2 linked regions of the Callithrix jacchus genome follow. The protein of the gene in region 2 purifies or fractionates together with the protein of the main gene of each other region. This does not show direct contact. Links are inferred from orthologs where the notes say so. Each region holds a gene or a part of one and is shown on either strand. Other genes may lie near its edges.

The links.
Region 1: the proteins of PTPRR (region 2) and MAPK14 purify together in Homo sapiens (affinity purification with mass spectrometry; 4 studies listed by BioGRID and IntAct, counting the BioPlex papers as one, with this or other methods). This does not show direct contact. The link is inferred for Callithrix jacchus from reciprocal best matches to the Homo sapiens genes PTPRR and MAPK14.

What each region holds. Positions count from the first base shown.
Region 1 is NC_133505.1:44,334,210-44,342,129, reverse strand, and holds the start of MAPK14 (mitogen-activated protein kinase 14), read right to left. Parts: upstream 4,406-7,920; 5' UTR 4,034-4,405; coding exon 3,918-4,033; intron 3,744-3,917; exon of another isoform or gene 3,732-3,743; coding exon of another isoform or gene 3,691-3,731; intron 1-3,690. UniProt on the Homo sapiens protein: Serine/threonine kinase which acts as an essential component of the MAP kinase signal transduction pathway.
Region 2 is NC_133510.1:73,186,923-73,194,272, forward strand, and holds part of PTPRR (receptor-type tyrosine-protein phosphatase R), read right to left. Parts: intron 4,339-7,350; coding exon 4,228-4,338; intron 2,595-4,227; coding exon 2,437-2,594; intron 1-2,436. UniProt on the Homo sapiens protein: Sequesters mitogen-activated protein kinases (MAPKs) such as MAPK1, MAPK3 and MAPK14 in the cytoplasm in an inactive form.

The sequences.
Region 1 (7,920 bases), on a different chromosome or scaffold from region 2:
ACTTAGTATAAATTAAAATAATATAGGCTTAAAATAATTTGTAAATGTTACACAACAAAGTATACCACACTTTAGAGCAATAAAATTAGGAAGCTGACAAATACTTCAATAACTATTTTATTCACTGAAATATTTTATTCATTTATTTTCATTCTTGAAAATAAAATTCAGGGGCTGGGTGTGGTGGCTCATTCCTATAATCCTAGCACTTTTGGAGGCCAAGGTGGAAGGACTGCTTGAGGCCAGAAGTTTGAGAGCAGCCTGGGCAACACAGTGAGACTCTATCTCTACAAAATGAATAAATAAATATTAATAAAATAAAATTCAGAGAATTTTTTTTTTTTGGAAGTAGAGTTCAGGTCCAGTTCAAGGAGTCACATGAAAAATTCTGTGCCATTACTTTATAGTTATAACTCCTATCTGACCTAAAACAGTAGTATCACCAACATGATTGCTAATCTTTCTTATCAGACTTGAGTCCAAATTCCCTAAATTATTTGGATTCTAATGGACTGTTATTCCCTAAAATCAAATCTGCTCTCAAAAAATGAAGACAGAGGTCCAGACACGGTGGCTCACCCCTTATCTCAGCACTTTGGGAGGCCAAGGCAGGCAGATCACCTGAGGTCAGGAGTTCAAGAGCAGTCTGGCCAACATGGTGAAACCCTGTCTCTACTAAATATACAAAAATCAGCCCAGCATGGTGTTGCACACCTGTAATTCCAGCTACTTGGGAGCCTGAGGCAGGAGAATCACTTGAACCCAGGAGGCAGAGATTACAATCAGCAGAGATGGTACCATTGCACTCCAACCTAGGCAACAGAGTGAGACTCCATCTCAAAAAAAAAAAAAAGAGTAACATAGGCTCCAAAGTAGAGTCTAAAAGAAGTTCCAAAAAATGTTTTCTGCCATACCTAAAAAGGTACTCATAGAAAGAACAACTCCAGGCCAGGCTTGTAATCCCAGCACTTTGGGAGGCCAAGGAGGGCAGATTACTTGAGGTCAGGAGTTTGAGACCAGCCTGGCCAACATGGAGAACCCTATCTCTACTAAAATACAAAAATTAGCTGGGTATGGTGGCAAGCACCTGTAATCCCAGCTACTCAGGAGGCTGAGGCAGGAGAATCACTTGAACCCAGGAGGCAGAAGTTTTAGTGAGCCGAAATAGTGCCACTGCATTCAAGTCTGGGCAACAGCATGAGATTTCTTCTCAAAAAAAAAAGAAAGAACGAACACTTCAAATAACTACTCTGAATCTGTGAATAAAATAACATTTACTTGTAAATCTAAATTGTGATATTTCATTCCAACATTAGTTATATTGGTTTATTGTCAATTGTCATATAATTTCAGTTGTATTTTCCTTTACCAATATGCTGTAGGTTACATCTTAAATCCCTTTAGTAGAAATACTACTAAAGAAACAAGCAAATAAAAAAACTCTGCCTCCCTGGAAAGACACACAAGACATTTAACAGTGCTTGTCTTTAAGAGAGTAGCCGGGTGCAGTAGCTCTCGCCTGTAATCCCAGCACTTTGGGAGGCTGAGGCAGGCAGATCACAAGGTCAAGAGATCCAGCCCATCCTGGCCAACATGGTGAAACCCCTGTCTCTACTAAAAATACAAAACTTAGCTGGGCGTGATAGCATGCGCCTGTAGTCCCAGCTACTCAGGAGGCTGAGGCAGGAGAACTGCTTGAACCCGGGAGATGGAGGTCGCAGTGAACCGTAATTGTGCCACTGCACTCCAGCCTGGTGGCAGAGCGAGATTGTCTCAAAAAAAAAAAAAAAAAAAAAAAGAGACAGTAGAGTAACTGGAGAACAAAAAGGAAAGGAGACTTTTCACTGAATACCTTTTTAAAGCTTTCAAATTTTATCCAATGTCAATGCACTACCTATTTTTTAAAACCTGTTCAATAAAAGTACTTTTAAGTGTCAGATACTGCTGACTTCTATACCACAGAAAAATATACCACTAAAGAAATGTGGAGTTAATTTTAATGACACTTCACTGTAAATCTGGATCTCCTGTTCCAGTTCAGAGCGAGTCACCAACAGCAGTGAACTCTTGCAAGCAATTCAATTGGAGTTTCCCAAACCCTCTACAGTTGACTTATTCTGCTGTATCACTCCATTAAAATTTAAATAGCATTGAAAACAAAAACACGACACTACAGAAATGAATGTGTCAATTCAAGAAAGAAAAAAATGGAAAGCTATTAATGAGCCATAAAATATTAAAGGAGCAATGATCCAAATACATCTTTGAAAATTAGCAATTCAAGTAGATATATATACGTATATACTGCATGTAAAATGCTGTAAATCAACTACACACACACACACACTCTCTTTCTCTCTCTCTGAATGTAAAATGTTGCAAATTCCTTTAAAATGTAAACTGACACACTGTAAAAATGAGAGAAAGATGTCAAGCACGGTGCATTCTACAACATAACTTAAGCAGCTTGAACTAGAAAATGCAACATGATCTGTTGCTGGACACAATTGCACAATCTCAATTACCCAGAAGATTCTACCAAACAGGAAATTCATGATGTGACTTCAGGAAACACAGCAATCATATTTAAAGATTAACACATCCAAAAGCCTGGAATTTGTTCCAAAACAAAAAACGATTTTACAGGCCCCTTTTCAAATCTTGCATAAACACGAATTACTAAAACACAGAAAAAGCTAACCGTTAAATCTGATATTTAGTTTCAGATCCATAGCTTTCAAATGATACAAAATCTAAAATACAGGGTATAAAACCTTGGAAGTTAGAGGTCAGTTAGTGAAATATTTCAGGTCTGGAAATCATATGATATCGACTTAATTTAAAACACACTCATAGTGTAAATTAAAGCTAAAAAGTATTTCTTCCCTTCCTTTTCTATGTGGTTCCATATCTTTACGAAAACCATCGTGTACCTCAAGCCATAAATGCAGATAATTCCCTGCAAACTCTCTGAGGGACTTTTAAACCACAGTATTCGCAGGAATTATCACAACAAGAAATTTACAATACCTCCCAGCACTGTTAATAACTTTTTGATCTTGAGGGCACCTCACAGATCTGAATCTTTCTTGCTCCAAAGGAGAAAATTGTTTTGTCGAACAATACTTAAATGAGCAGTGGTATGTGACTAATCAGTGAGGCTGCCAGTTTCTCAAGCTGCAGTGTTCTTGCAAGCATTACCACCGCCGCCCCTCCACGGAAAGGAAATACGCTTTCAACTGAATCGGAAACACACCACTCAAGCTGGCACAGTGCTCACTGAGATAAAGTCGGTATTTTAAGCTCTATGGATCGGTGCTAACTCAAGTGCGAATTCAAAAAGAACGCTTCTCAAGATGGGATTTCGACAGAGGTTTGCAAAAAAAGAAGGAAAAAAAAAGCCCGGAGAGAGCTCCCTTCCTGCTCAGTTTTGTTCAGATGACTGAAGTCTTCGGGTTGGCCTCTGCCCTTCTGCTTCTCCCGGGAGCTCCCCGAGCTTGTCTGCTCAAAGGACAGGCTCCCGCGTTCCAGCGTGGGCGCATCGCGGGAGAGGGTCCTTCTGCTCCAGGTCGGTAGGGAGACCCCCCAAGAAAGCAGCCCTGCCCCCGGCGCCTGCCGCCGAACAGCAACCCTCCGAGATGGGAAGGCGCAGGGTGCTACCCAGAACCGAGCTCCAGCACCACCACCTACCTCTCGCAGCGGACCTGAGTGCTGCACACGGTGGACCACATACCCGCGAGTGCAGGGCGAGGGGTGCAGGAGGTGCAGAACAGGCAGGGCTCGAAGGGCAGCAATGCCCTCCCCCGAGGAAAATTCCTGCCACTTGACGCAACGCTGAGCCGTGGGGCAGGCCTGGCCCTCGGGCGCGAGGGGCCACCCTGACCACAGCAGCCCCAGCGAGGCCCGGCGACACTCACCACACAGAGCCATAGGCGCCGGAGCCCACTGGAGACAGGTTCTGGTAACGCTCGGGCACCTCCCAGATTGTCTTGTTCAGCTCCTGCCGGTAGAACGTGGGCCTCTCCTGAGACATTTTCCAGCGGCAGCCGCCAGGCAAGAAGGTGGCCCTGTGGGGCCCCCGCCTGCACCCGCACCCTCTCCCCGGCCCTTGCTGCCCGCCCAACCGGGCGGGGACCTCGCGCTGGTCGCCCGCGCAGGTGCGGCTGCCGCGACCCCGCAGACTCCCGCGCGCGCGGCTGCTGTCAGCCGCAGCGGCTGGATGCGCCTCTGCGACTGGGGCAAGCCCGGTTAAGAGAAGGGACGCGCTCTGGCGCTCAAGGCTGCGCCCGCCGCGATATCCCTGCACCTTCGCCCCTACTAGGCCGACTCTGGGCTGCGTCGCAGGACTTCTGCTCCAGCTGCGCCCGCTGAGGATCCAGTGGTCCCGGTTCCAGAGCCAGCAAACGGGAGCCTCCCCGTACTCTCGCGAGAACAGCTCCTGGAACTCTCCGCGAACCGAGATTTTACCCAATATGGAACCTCTCCGCGGGCGGGGCTTCGTGAGAGGAGAATATGGGAGAAGCAATTCTCGCGAGAAGAGAGCAACAACTGTAGACCAGAGGCAGAAATTCCCCAGGGACTGTCTCCTTAAGGGCGCGAAGGAGCACTAGGGAAGAAAGAGATAAGCGGGCAGCACACGCCGCGCGCGCCTCACCGTGGCCGGCGGGGCAAATACCTGGCTCTGTGGTGGGAAACGAGAGGGACAAATAGCATGTTGGGGAAGAGCCAAAAGATCTTTAACAGAGAGTAGTTCCCAGCAGCTGAGCACCTGCTCAACAGAACCCCCAAATTCCAAAAAACACTTGCATAAAAAAGAGACAAGTTCCGGCCAGAAGGCTGCTGCATTCCCATCTGTTCAAGGACATGTGGTTACTCTTCAAGATGCTTGATGAAATCTGCCCCCCAAAACAAATGTCAACCTGCATCAAAGCTAGGCTCTCCATTCAAACTCTCCTAGTAGTTCTTAAACTTACACGCAGAAAAATCACTCTAGGAGTTTAAGATGCAAGTTCCCAGGACTCACAGGGAATCTAATTGGGTAGGTCAGAGGACGGCATCAAGAGCATGTATTTTTATAGTACATCTTAGGTGGTTCTGATTCAGGAAAGTCTCTGATATTTCCCTTTGAGAAGCATTTAAAAAAACCATTACACTGAAGACTTGAAACTGACTCCTATCCTGAAGAGCCATCAGTGAAGAGGATTTTAAGCCTTTAACTTAGGCCTCTTGGAGTAAGAAGAATAGGGCATGAGTCTCATCAAATTTAGGCAAGTCAATTGACCTTTCCTGAACCCTTAGTTCAGGAAAACCCTTAGGAATTTCTGCCCTGCATTCCCGATGAACAGAGTCATGTGTAAAAACTGAACAAGATAAATGTAAATGGGCAAGGCATTATAACCTCATGCCTACATCCATTATCAACCTACACCTATGCTAAAGCTTGTTACAATGAGCAGAAGAATCAGATCCTGTCTGATTCTCTTAGTTTCTTGTATTAGAAATAACTGGGTGCAAGCCAGGACATTTCTCATCATTTCCCGTGTCATACCTTGGAGGGCTCAGACTTTGCCTATCTTGTCCCAACATCTAGCACAGTGTCTAGAACATAAAGCATGTCCCATACGTATTTATTGAAAAATTATGAACAATCACCATGATTTCAATTTAGGAGGTGGTACAGGATCCTCAGTCCTCCTCAAGGAAAGCAACATAAAACCAGAAAACAGAGTCATGGGTGATTCATGGAAAGCTGTCTTGGATCCAATGTAGCTTAGCTGGAATTCTCTTATCTATAAAAACATAATGCTTGAGAATGTTCCAAACTAGGGAGGCTAGGAAGCTTTCTAAGATGTAATGGAGGGTGAAGGGGAAGTAAGAGTAAAAACATGATTGTGAAGAAGAGAGGGATGGGGTGGGGGGCATCAAGGGAATGAGGGGATGGTTACAAGGGGTGAGGAGGAAGGCTGGAAGTAGGAATCCTCAGAAATGCACATTTTTACCTTACAAATTGGTATGATGAGGTGAGGGCAAATAAAAGGATAAAGATAAAGTAAGCAGTATATTTGTATACTCATTCAACAAATGTGTATTAAATGCCTACTGGGTGCCAAGCACTTGTAGTTAAAAAGTAATTTAAAACTACAGTTGCTGCCTGTGTGGAGCTTACAATCGATGGGAGGGCAATCATTCAACACAAATTTGTTGAACACTTCCTATGTCCACCACACTGTTGTGGGCACTGATAATAAAACAGTTATTGAAAGGGATAAAAATCCCAGCCCTCATGGGGGTAAGACAATTTACAAAAAGGAATACATAAAGTGAATAATAAGGTAGACACTAACACAGTCATCAAACAAACAAGTGTAAAACTGTAACTGGGCCAAGCAGGAATACAAGGTGGAGTGAGAGACAGCGATGGGGACAGGGATAGGGTGCGAGGAGGGTAAAGGGAGTGAGTGCAGAGGGCAAATCTGCCTGCAGAGCAGAGATCTGGGCAGGAGGGTGTCAACCAGTGCTGGGAGCCAGGCTTGTAGGGAAGAGGGCCTATGGTTGGAGACCCGGGTGACCTTCCTAGCCTCTATTTCCTTTTAGGTCTTCTGACCTGAGGAAGGCTTAAGTCTTCAGGAGATGTTAGTGAATTACCGTCTGTGCAGTACACTTGTGCATTACTGTATGTTCAAAGCACGAGGCTGGGCACCAAATAGGCCCTCGATCAGGAATAGTAAAACCTCGGAGAGAGTAGGAGCGTTGGCGTACAGGTACCGAGGTTTACCAAGTACTGGCTCACGTATGAGGAGGGCGGCCCAGATACCCCTTTCCTGGCTCCCCAGCCCAGCTGTTCCTGCTATCCTTCCTCGTCCCCTCCCCCACTCTCATCTCCCGTCCACCGGGAACGCCGGCGGGATCGGCCGCAACGGTTCGGGAACCGCCGGTGTCCGCTTCCTCGGCGCCGCCAGCTAGGCGGGAGCCGTGTGAGACCCCAGCGCCCCACTCCGGCCCCCGCCAAGGAGCAGGTGAGCCGCTGCGGCTGCCGGGAGACTCCCGGGCGCCGGGAACTGAGGCGGTGAGCGGCGAGGCCAAGGCGGGTCCCCAGGCAGGGGCTGCGTGAGTCACCAGTAGGTACCCAGGTGTGCCGCAGGGCCAGGCACGTCACGGGCGCTCAGTCAATATCTGTGGAACGAATGAATGAATGAATGAATGTCGTCCCTGGGAGCTTGTCTTTCAGGTATTGTCTCTACTTTAAAAGGCCGTGTGGATGGCAATGACAAGAGACCGTGTGAGCATTTTGCAAGTTGCATCCTTTCAAATTCGCCTAATCTATATTGTCAAAAGCCCCAGAACTGATGTGCTGCCTGCACCCCACCGCCTACCCCATCCTTTTCCTTCCGAGGCCTGACTGCCCAGCCTTTCCTCCTCCTTTCAGTCCTCGCTGCTTTTGTTCATTTTCTTCCCTGCGACTGAATCCCCACCCCCACCTCCTTGCCCCTTTCTTTTCCTGTCAAATGCCATTTATGTGTCAGGGGCCCCTTCTGAAGCAGATGCCTTCTCCAGCACCCCCACCCCAATAATGAGCATCTCTCCAACACACCGTTACTCTCTCCACATCGCATGGAAGGCGGTTGTCCAATGTTTATGTGTCCAGTGGTCTCCCCTTAAGACCTGCCATTTAATTAGTCATCCCCGGCCACTAGCCAGAGTGACTGAAGGATCTAAAGGTCAGGCTCTTTGCTCATACCTTTTCTGTACTCCCAATACATTCTCCATAAAAACCAGGAGTACCAGCACGCCACTGTGCCCAGCTAATTTCTGTATTTTTAGTCAAAAGGGGATTTTGCCATGTTAGCCAGACTGGTCTTGAACTCCTGACCTTAGGTGATTCAACCATCTTGGCCTTCCTAAATTCTGGGATTACAGGCA
Region 2 (7,350 bases):
GAAGTTCATTTCATTGAAGAAATGGGATTGGAACTGCGCCCCATGAATGGCAGGTATTTTGGCTGTCACAAATGAGAGAGAATATTCTGAGTATGACAATGATATATAATGAAAGAATTAATGAGAAGCAAGAAATATGATTTGCAACCATAAGCAGGGTAGCTTGTCTTGAAGAGAAAATTATTTTAGAGGAACTGTTGGAAATACGGATAGAAAGGTACCCTGGGATCTTGTATGAAAGGCTGAGGTTTAAATTCATCCTTTTTTTTAAAAAAAATAATAATTTGATGAAGACTATAAACTTCAACTCTTCAGAAAAATTCACATGAGTTTATATACTCAAATGTGCTCAAATAATTGCAAGGAGTTCACTGACCACTGCAATTTATGCGTGGGATCAAGGTTAGGGAATTTCGCTCTAGCTGTTCTTTTTCTTTTATTTTAAGACAGTATCTCGCTGTGTCACCCAGGCTGCTGGAGTGTGGTGGTATGATCTCTGCTCACTGCAACCTATGCCTCCTAGGTTCAAGTGATTTTCCTGCCTCCATCTCTCAAGTAGCTGGGAGTACAGGCCCTTGCCACCATGCTCGGCTAATTTTTGTATTTTTAGTAGAGGGGGGTTTCACCATGTTGGCCAGGCTGGTCTTGAACTCCTGATATCAAGAGATCCACCCGCCTCGGCCTTCCCAAGTGTTGGGATTACAGGCATGAGCTCCTGCACCTGATCCATTGACAAGCTTTGAGCAGAGACTTCATGTAAGGTGAGACGGAGAAGGGAACAGGTAGGCCATGGTGGTGGTGAGGGCATGGGGGAGTACGGTATGTGTGTGCATTTTACCAGCTACTTCTTAAATACATGGATGAGGTCATAAGGGCCTGAACTATAGTGGCTGGACAGGAAATGGTGATTATGAGAGAAGCTTTGAAGGGAAAGCCAATCTAGTCACTGATTAGATAGTGAGGCTGGAGTTAAAAGAAGGGCCAGAGAGAATTGTCAACATGAGATGCTGAGTGACTGGAAAAAAGATAGTCTTCTTAGAAATAGTAACAAGAAGGGGAGCTGGTTTTATAGGGGAAGTGACTAGTCCATTTCAGATATCCTGAGTGTTTAATGACTTTGGGTAGGGGATAGTTCCAGCCCTATAGCATAGCCAATTAGGCTGCTTTATTTATTTTTTTGCTCCAAGTTAAGTTTAGGGTAAGGCCAATGTTATCTACCTTTGAATAAATAGACACATAGTAAACTGTACTCTTAATTAAATCACATAATCTCAAAAAAGGAGGCTAAAATTATACTCTAAAATAATGTATTATATTTATTAAATATATTATCAAAAGCCATTTTAAGAGACCTATGTGGTTAAACAAAGCAACAAAAATTATTTTGAGAAAACATGAAGAATAAATGGGTGGCTGGGCATGGTGTCTCACGCTTGTAATCCCAGAACTTTGGGAGGCCAACCCAGGCAGATCACATTTGAGGTCAGGAGTTCAAGACCAGCCTGGTCAACATGGTGAAAGGCCATCTCTACTAAAAACATGAACATTAGCCAGGCATGGTGGTACATGTCTGTAATCCCAGCTACTTTGGAAGCTGAGGCAGGAGAATCATTTGAACCAGGGGGTGGAGTTTGCAGTAAACTGAGATGGTGCCACGGTGCTGCCCAGCCTGGGTGATGGAGTGAGACAATGTCTCAAAATAAATAAATGGTCGATCATATAAATTACCTTAAAAATGCTTGCTTCAGTTTGGTTACATTAAAAGGAAAACAAGGGGAAGGAGGTATGAGTTCCAGGAGGAGAGTTCTGAACTAGAGATGAGGGACAGGAACCACCACACGCCCTGCTGCTGTTGTTGGCCTGGCCTCTGGTGCTCTACGTTCTGTAACAGTACTTTGTTTTCCTTCGGTGAACTACCACTTGCTCACTTCTTATTTCATAAATTTGTTTCAATCTGTTTTTCCTGAGATAACTGTTAAAATAATTGACTGGTTTTCACCAAACTTGAAATGGTAATAAATGTTACCAAGATACAAACCAGGCAGAGTTCAGATGTCATCATGAAATCCCAGAAAAGCCACTGATGATTTAAAAAAATGCATTTTAATTCCTGGTCCTACAAGACTGATGAGACTAAATGAATCAGTATTTTAAAGCAGGTAACTGCTGAATAAGGTCTCCTGTTTACTGAGCCACTTATTTCGAACTTGTATTTCACCCGTTGTGTAATCATTGTTTTCCAAAAATGCCTCAAAACATGACTTCACTTCTGTCAGCATAATCTTGATTAAGACTCAAATATTAGGCAGTTAACCAATTTCAATAAATAATTTTCCAGCAAAGTCACATCCCGGAAGCAAAACCCACTTCTACCTGCTCTGTGACTTTATAAAGAATGGGCTATTGCTTAGACAGAAAGTACCATTCACGTCTTACCTGCAGTGGACAACCACAGGCCCTCGGCCCTGGGAAGCAAGTCTGTCTTCTTCCACATCCAGCATGAGCTGTAGGAGGGGCTGGGCACTGTCTGGAGTCTTGTGATCGGGCCATGAGGTGTACCAGTAATGCTTCACATGTTGGGTGTGACTTCCTTGCTGAAAATAGCAACAGGCACCAAATGCCTCATTCACTTGTGGAACTAAAAGTCATCCAAACCACAATGCTGGATGCCTTTTATCACCCCCATCTTGCTGGCAACTTATTTCTAGGTGGGAAAAAAATCTACAAGATTTTCGAAGAGTGCCCTTTTATTTTGAGAAGACTTTACTGTCCGTATCCTGATCTCGAAGTGAGAAAGTTTTACCTTTGTGAAGATTTGTATCTCTACCTATAGTTATAGTATAGTTCATACATGTAAGATATGCTAAATATATATTTAGCATATATATAATTTCTTTTAATAAACAAGATGGTAGGTGAAAATGTAGCCAAGAAAGAATGGGATATATTTTGTTTCCTGTTCCATGAGCATTCCTGACAAGTTATTATACACATATTAATAGAACACTTAATTTCATGTCAGTCATGCTATTACTTCTACACTCATCTCAAACTCCAGTATTTAATAGGAGTGAGGAATCCCAGCAATAAAGAAGCTACAGGAGGTCCCTCTATTGGAAACACTTTGGGCGAGGGCCCACACACATCATCTTGAAACCCAGCACAGGTGGGGGTGTGGTATGAACCCGGCACTCCACAATGTTTGCTGAAAAACAGATTTCGGTAAGTGCCTTCCTATTCCAAACTTCCCAATAAAATCCATCCCTGTAGCTCTGCCTCTGTTTTCTTCCTCTTTGTGATGATTTTGTCCCAGCAGTGAGGCTGCAGATAAGATCGAAATTTTTGGGTGATTATTCTCCAGAAGCAAAAGTAATACCATGGCAACGTTTCTCAGCATCTGCTGCCCAGGAGTTAAATAAGATAGTTTTCCTATGACATAATCTCATCTGGGGAAAATCCCTATAAATTACTGTAACTCCACGCTTCTGAAGATCTCATCAACACTTCAGGCTTGTCTTGCTTCCCACTGACACCCACAAGTGCAGATTTTCACTTTCACAGCTTCCAGGCCTCACTTAAAGCTGCTTAGACCAAAATGACATTAAAAAAAATCATGGCAGGGCCGGGCGCCGTGTCTCATGCCTGTAATCCCAGCACTTTGGGAGGCGGAGGTGGGTGGATCACGAGGTCAACAGATCGAGACCATCCTGGTCAACATGGTGAAACCCCGTCTCTACTAAAAATACAAAAAATTAGCTGGGCATGGTGGTGCGTGCCTGTAATCCCAGCTACTCAGGAGGCTGAGGCGGGAAAATTGCCTGAACCGAGGAGGCGGAGGTTGCGGTGAGCCGAGATCGTGCCATTGCACTCCAGAGCGAAACTCCGTCTCAAAAAAAATCATGGCAAAGTCTCCAGCACAGCCTTTAGTTAAAAGCTTTCAAAAGTTTAAATCAGAGATGTTTTATTAATGCAAATTAGAGGATCACAACATCCTACATAATGAATTTTCTTAACGTCTACTTACATTGATTTAATTATACTACATACTAATAGTAGTTGACAACAAAAAATACATAAGAGAATGATTATAGTTTCTCTTTGATCTTAAAACTATTTAATTTGCTTAAATTGAATTTGTAGTACTTATTAAGATAAATAATTTCAAAGTAGAAATGTAATCCTCTAACATCACCTACTTTGTAGATGGCTATAGCTACATAATCTTACCTTCAAGACAAGGTTTCGAATGGTGTAGTTATCACACTCATTTACACTGATAACCAGAACCTCCACTTTCCCATATATCCCTCTCTTTTCTGGCCAGTACAGCACACATTTCTGGGGGAGGGGAAAGAGAATACAGCAAACGTTAATAGCTTTTATTAGCCTTGGAGTACTTTTTATTTAAGCATCTCAAGAGTTTTACCTGATTAATTTAAAAAAATCAAATATCAATTTTTATAATTTTATAAATCTATTAAAACCACTGAATTATAAAGCTTAAAACAGCCAGATTTTATGGTATGTAACTTATATCTTAAGAGATTTTTAAAAAAGTATCAATTTTACATGTGCCTGTCAGTCACTGCTGACTCCATACAAAAAAAAGGCAAAATTTCCCAAAACTCCACAGAGAAATTAAGAACTAAGCTAAAATATTTAAGAATAAAGCAATTAAGATCCAAATATTAGAATTTATCCTGTGCTGACTAGAAATAAAAAGAATGTTTTCCCACAATAATTGAGGAAAGTTACATTTTCCTGCTTCATCAAACTTGTGTCTAATGAGAATATCTAATATGTTAGATGCCACAGAACCAAGTTTCCCTTATATGTAAGGCAGATATAATGACCATTAACACTCCTATGGTATTATGTTTTCCTTGACCAATGGTTTTTTTCACTTATGAAACTAATTTATAAAAAAGATGTTAAAAATATTTTTATAATGGACCCTCCTGAGGAGCTTAAAAAGAGTGATAATAATTATACTGCGAGCAAGGCAACATACATGGTGGTTCATGTGCAGACTTTGAACTCAGAGCCTGGGTCCAAATTTTGGTTCTACCATTCATTACCTGTGAATCCATGAACAAGATACCCAACTCCTTTGGTTATAGTTTCTTTATGATTTGCTACATAAAAAGTACTTAGGATAAAGCCAGGCACAGAATAAGCACTTAAAAACATATTATTATTATTGTTATTTAAAAACTTCTGGGTGATAGATTTTTGGCCCAAAGTGATTAGATCTTCATGCCCTAAACATTATTTTCATATTATTATATCCAGTTACTGGTTATATAAATTAAAATATATCCAATTTTTAATTATTAATTAAAAATTGCAAAGTGAGATTCAAGCATACATATAATGTCATATTATTTTGCTTTTTAAACTGCAAAATAACTTTTACCACAAATTTTGATGATAAAGAATGTAAAATGACAAACGTTGATGTTTCATTTTGAGTGCTCTTGGAAGCAATGTTAATTTCAGAAATAGTTAAATAGCACTGATTTTCTCCCAACCATCCACACATTTACATAGAAATTCTTTCACTTGTTGCCTTCAATCAGGACCTTTTAATACCCAGGACACTTGTCTCTTCACATCTATGTCAAAGGCATATGAACACACTTGACAAAAATTTAAATACTTATAGATTTAAAAGAGCAGCAAAAGACTCGCAAAGTTACAGAACTGAAGGAAAAGGCATGTAAAGAATCAGAAACATGCCTCCAGGGCTGTATCACGCTAAGTACCACTACCCTACATGCTAGCACAGTGAAGGAAGTCACTTCACCTAGGAAATCCATTTCTTTCATCCATTACAATAAAAGCACATTTACATCCTCCACATTTTGACCCTTTTTTCAAATGAAGTAAATTGTTTCCCTTTATTTACATGCCACCCAAGACTCTCAGGCTATCAGACCAAAAGGCTTACTCTGGCTGACTTTACATTAACATTAAGAGAAGAAATCTTTTTAAAATAGAGCAACTCATTACTCTCCAAATCTATGAGTTGCCAAATGTCTAAAATTTACCCACTTTGTTAAAGGTAATCATACTAACCAATTTGCCTGGTTTCTTTCAATGAAGCATCAATTATTTTGCTGTAAGACCCGAGCTACCGCGTATCTTAAAACCCATGCCTCCCGATGAGTCCAAGAAGAATGACAAAGAATCTTGAAAAAGTTATTGAACAAAGAAAGAGGCATTCATTCAGCAGTCCAGCAGTCTGTCGTACGTGCCCCATTGTCCACGATCAGACCTGAGCAGGAGGCCTCTCTTTAGGAAGGTGGCTCTCAAAACCAATAAGAAAAGCTGCAGGGCAGGAGCTTACTGTCTGTACCCTGATTCTTAATACTTACTTGAACATGCTTCTGCACCTACTTGATAAATGGAAATGTGCCTTGCTTCTCTCCCAAGCTTGCAGGGGCCTTCTTGAATGTTTTTCTTGACTTGTTACCAAAAAAGCAATTGGCAGCCAGCTCCCAGTAGACAATGCAGTGTGACTTGTTCATTCAAATAACCCTTAATTAGCATCCCATCTCCTCTCTGAGATACAATAGCATGTTTTTACACACTGAATACATTTTTCCCCCATTTAGATGACAGTAGAAAAAGAGACCAGATAAATGTGGGTACTTTTGAATATGAAGTGGGAAAGAGCTGCAAATGCAGTTGTTTCTGAGAGTACAAGTTCACGTTCAAATTATTTTCCTGTACAGCTTTCTAGGGTTTCTTTATTGTGGTGCTAACAGTGAGATAAAAGAGGCAGAAAATGCAAGGAAGAAAAACACTGGCTTACAGATAATACTGTGAAACCACATTCATTGTAGGTAATTCAAAATAGCATGCTGTTTAGCAGAATATAACCCCAAATCATCACTATTCTTTTGCTAACTAGGCTTATCCTTTCAGTAAAATTATGTATTAATTCTAAGAATCCATAATTTGGATTTCCAGAGGACTGTGTCTCTTGTGCAAACAATAATTATGAAACCCTGACTGAAAAGATTTTGGACATTAACCAGTTCTTTGTAATTGGTTTACAGCAATGTAGGATGTAACGCAAAGAAGTGCAAACTTTTTTTTTTGAGACAGAGTCCCATTCTGTCACCCAGGTTGGAGTCTCATTCTATCACCCAGGTTGGAGTACAGTGGCACAGCGCTGGCTTACCGCAACCGCCACCTCCCAGGTTCAAGCGATTCTCCTGCCTCAGCCTCCCGAGTAGCTAAGATTACAGGTGTGTGCCATCACACCCAGCTAATTTTTGTATTTTTAGTAGAGATGGGGTTTCACCATGTTGGCTAGGCTGTTCTCGAACTCCTGACCTCAGG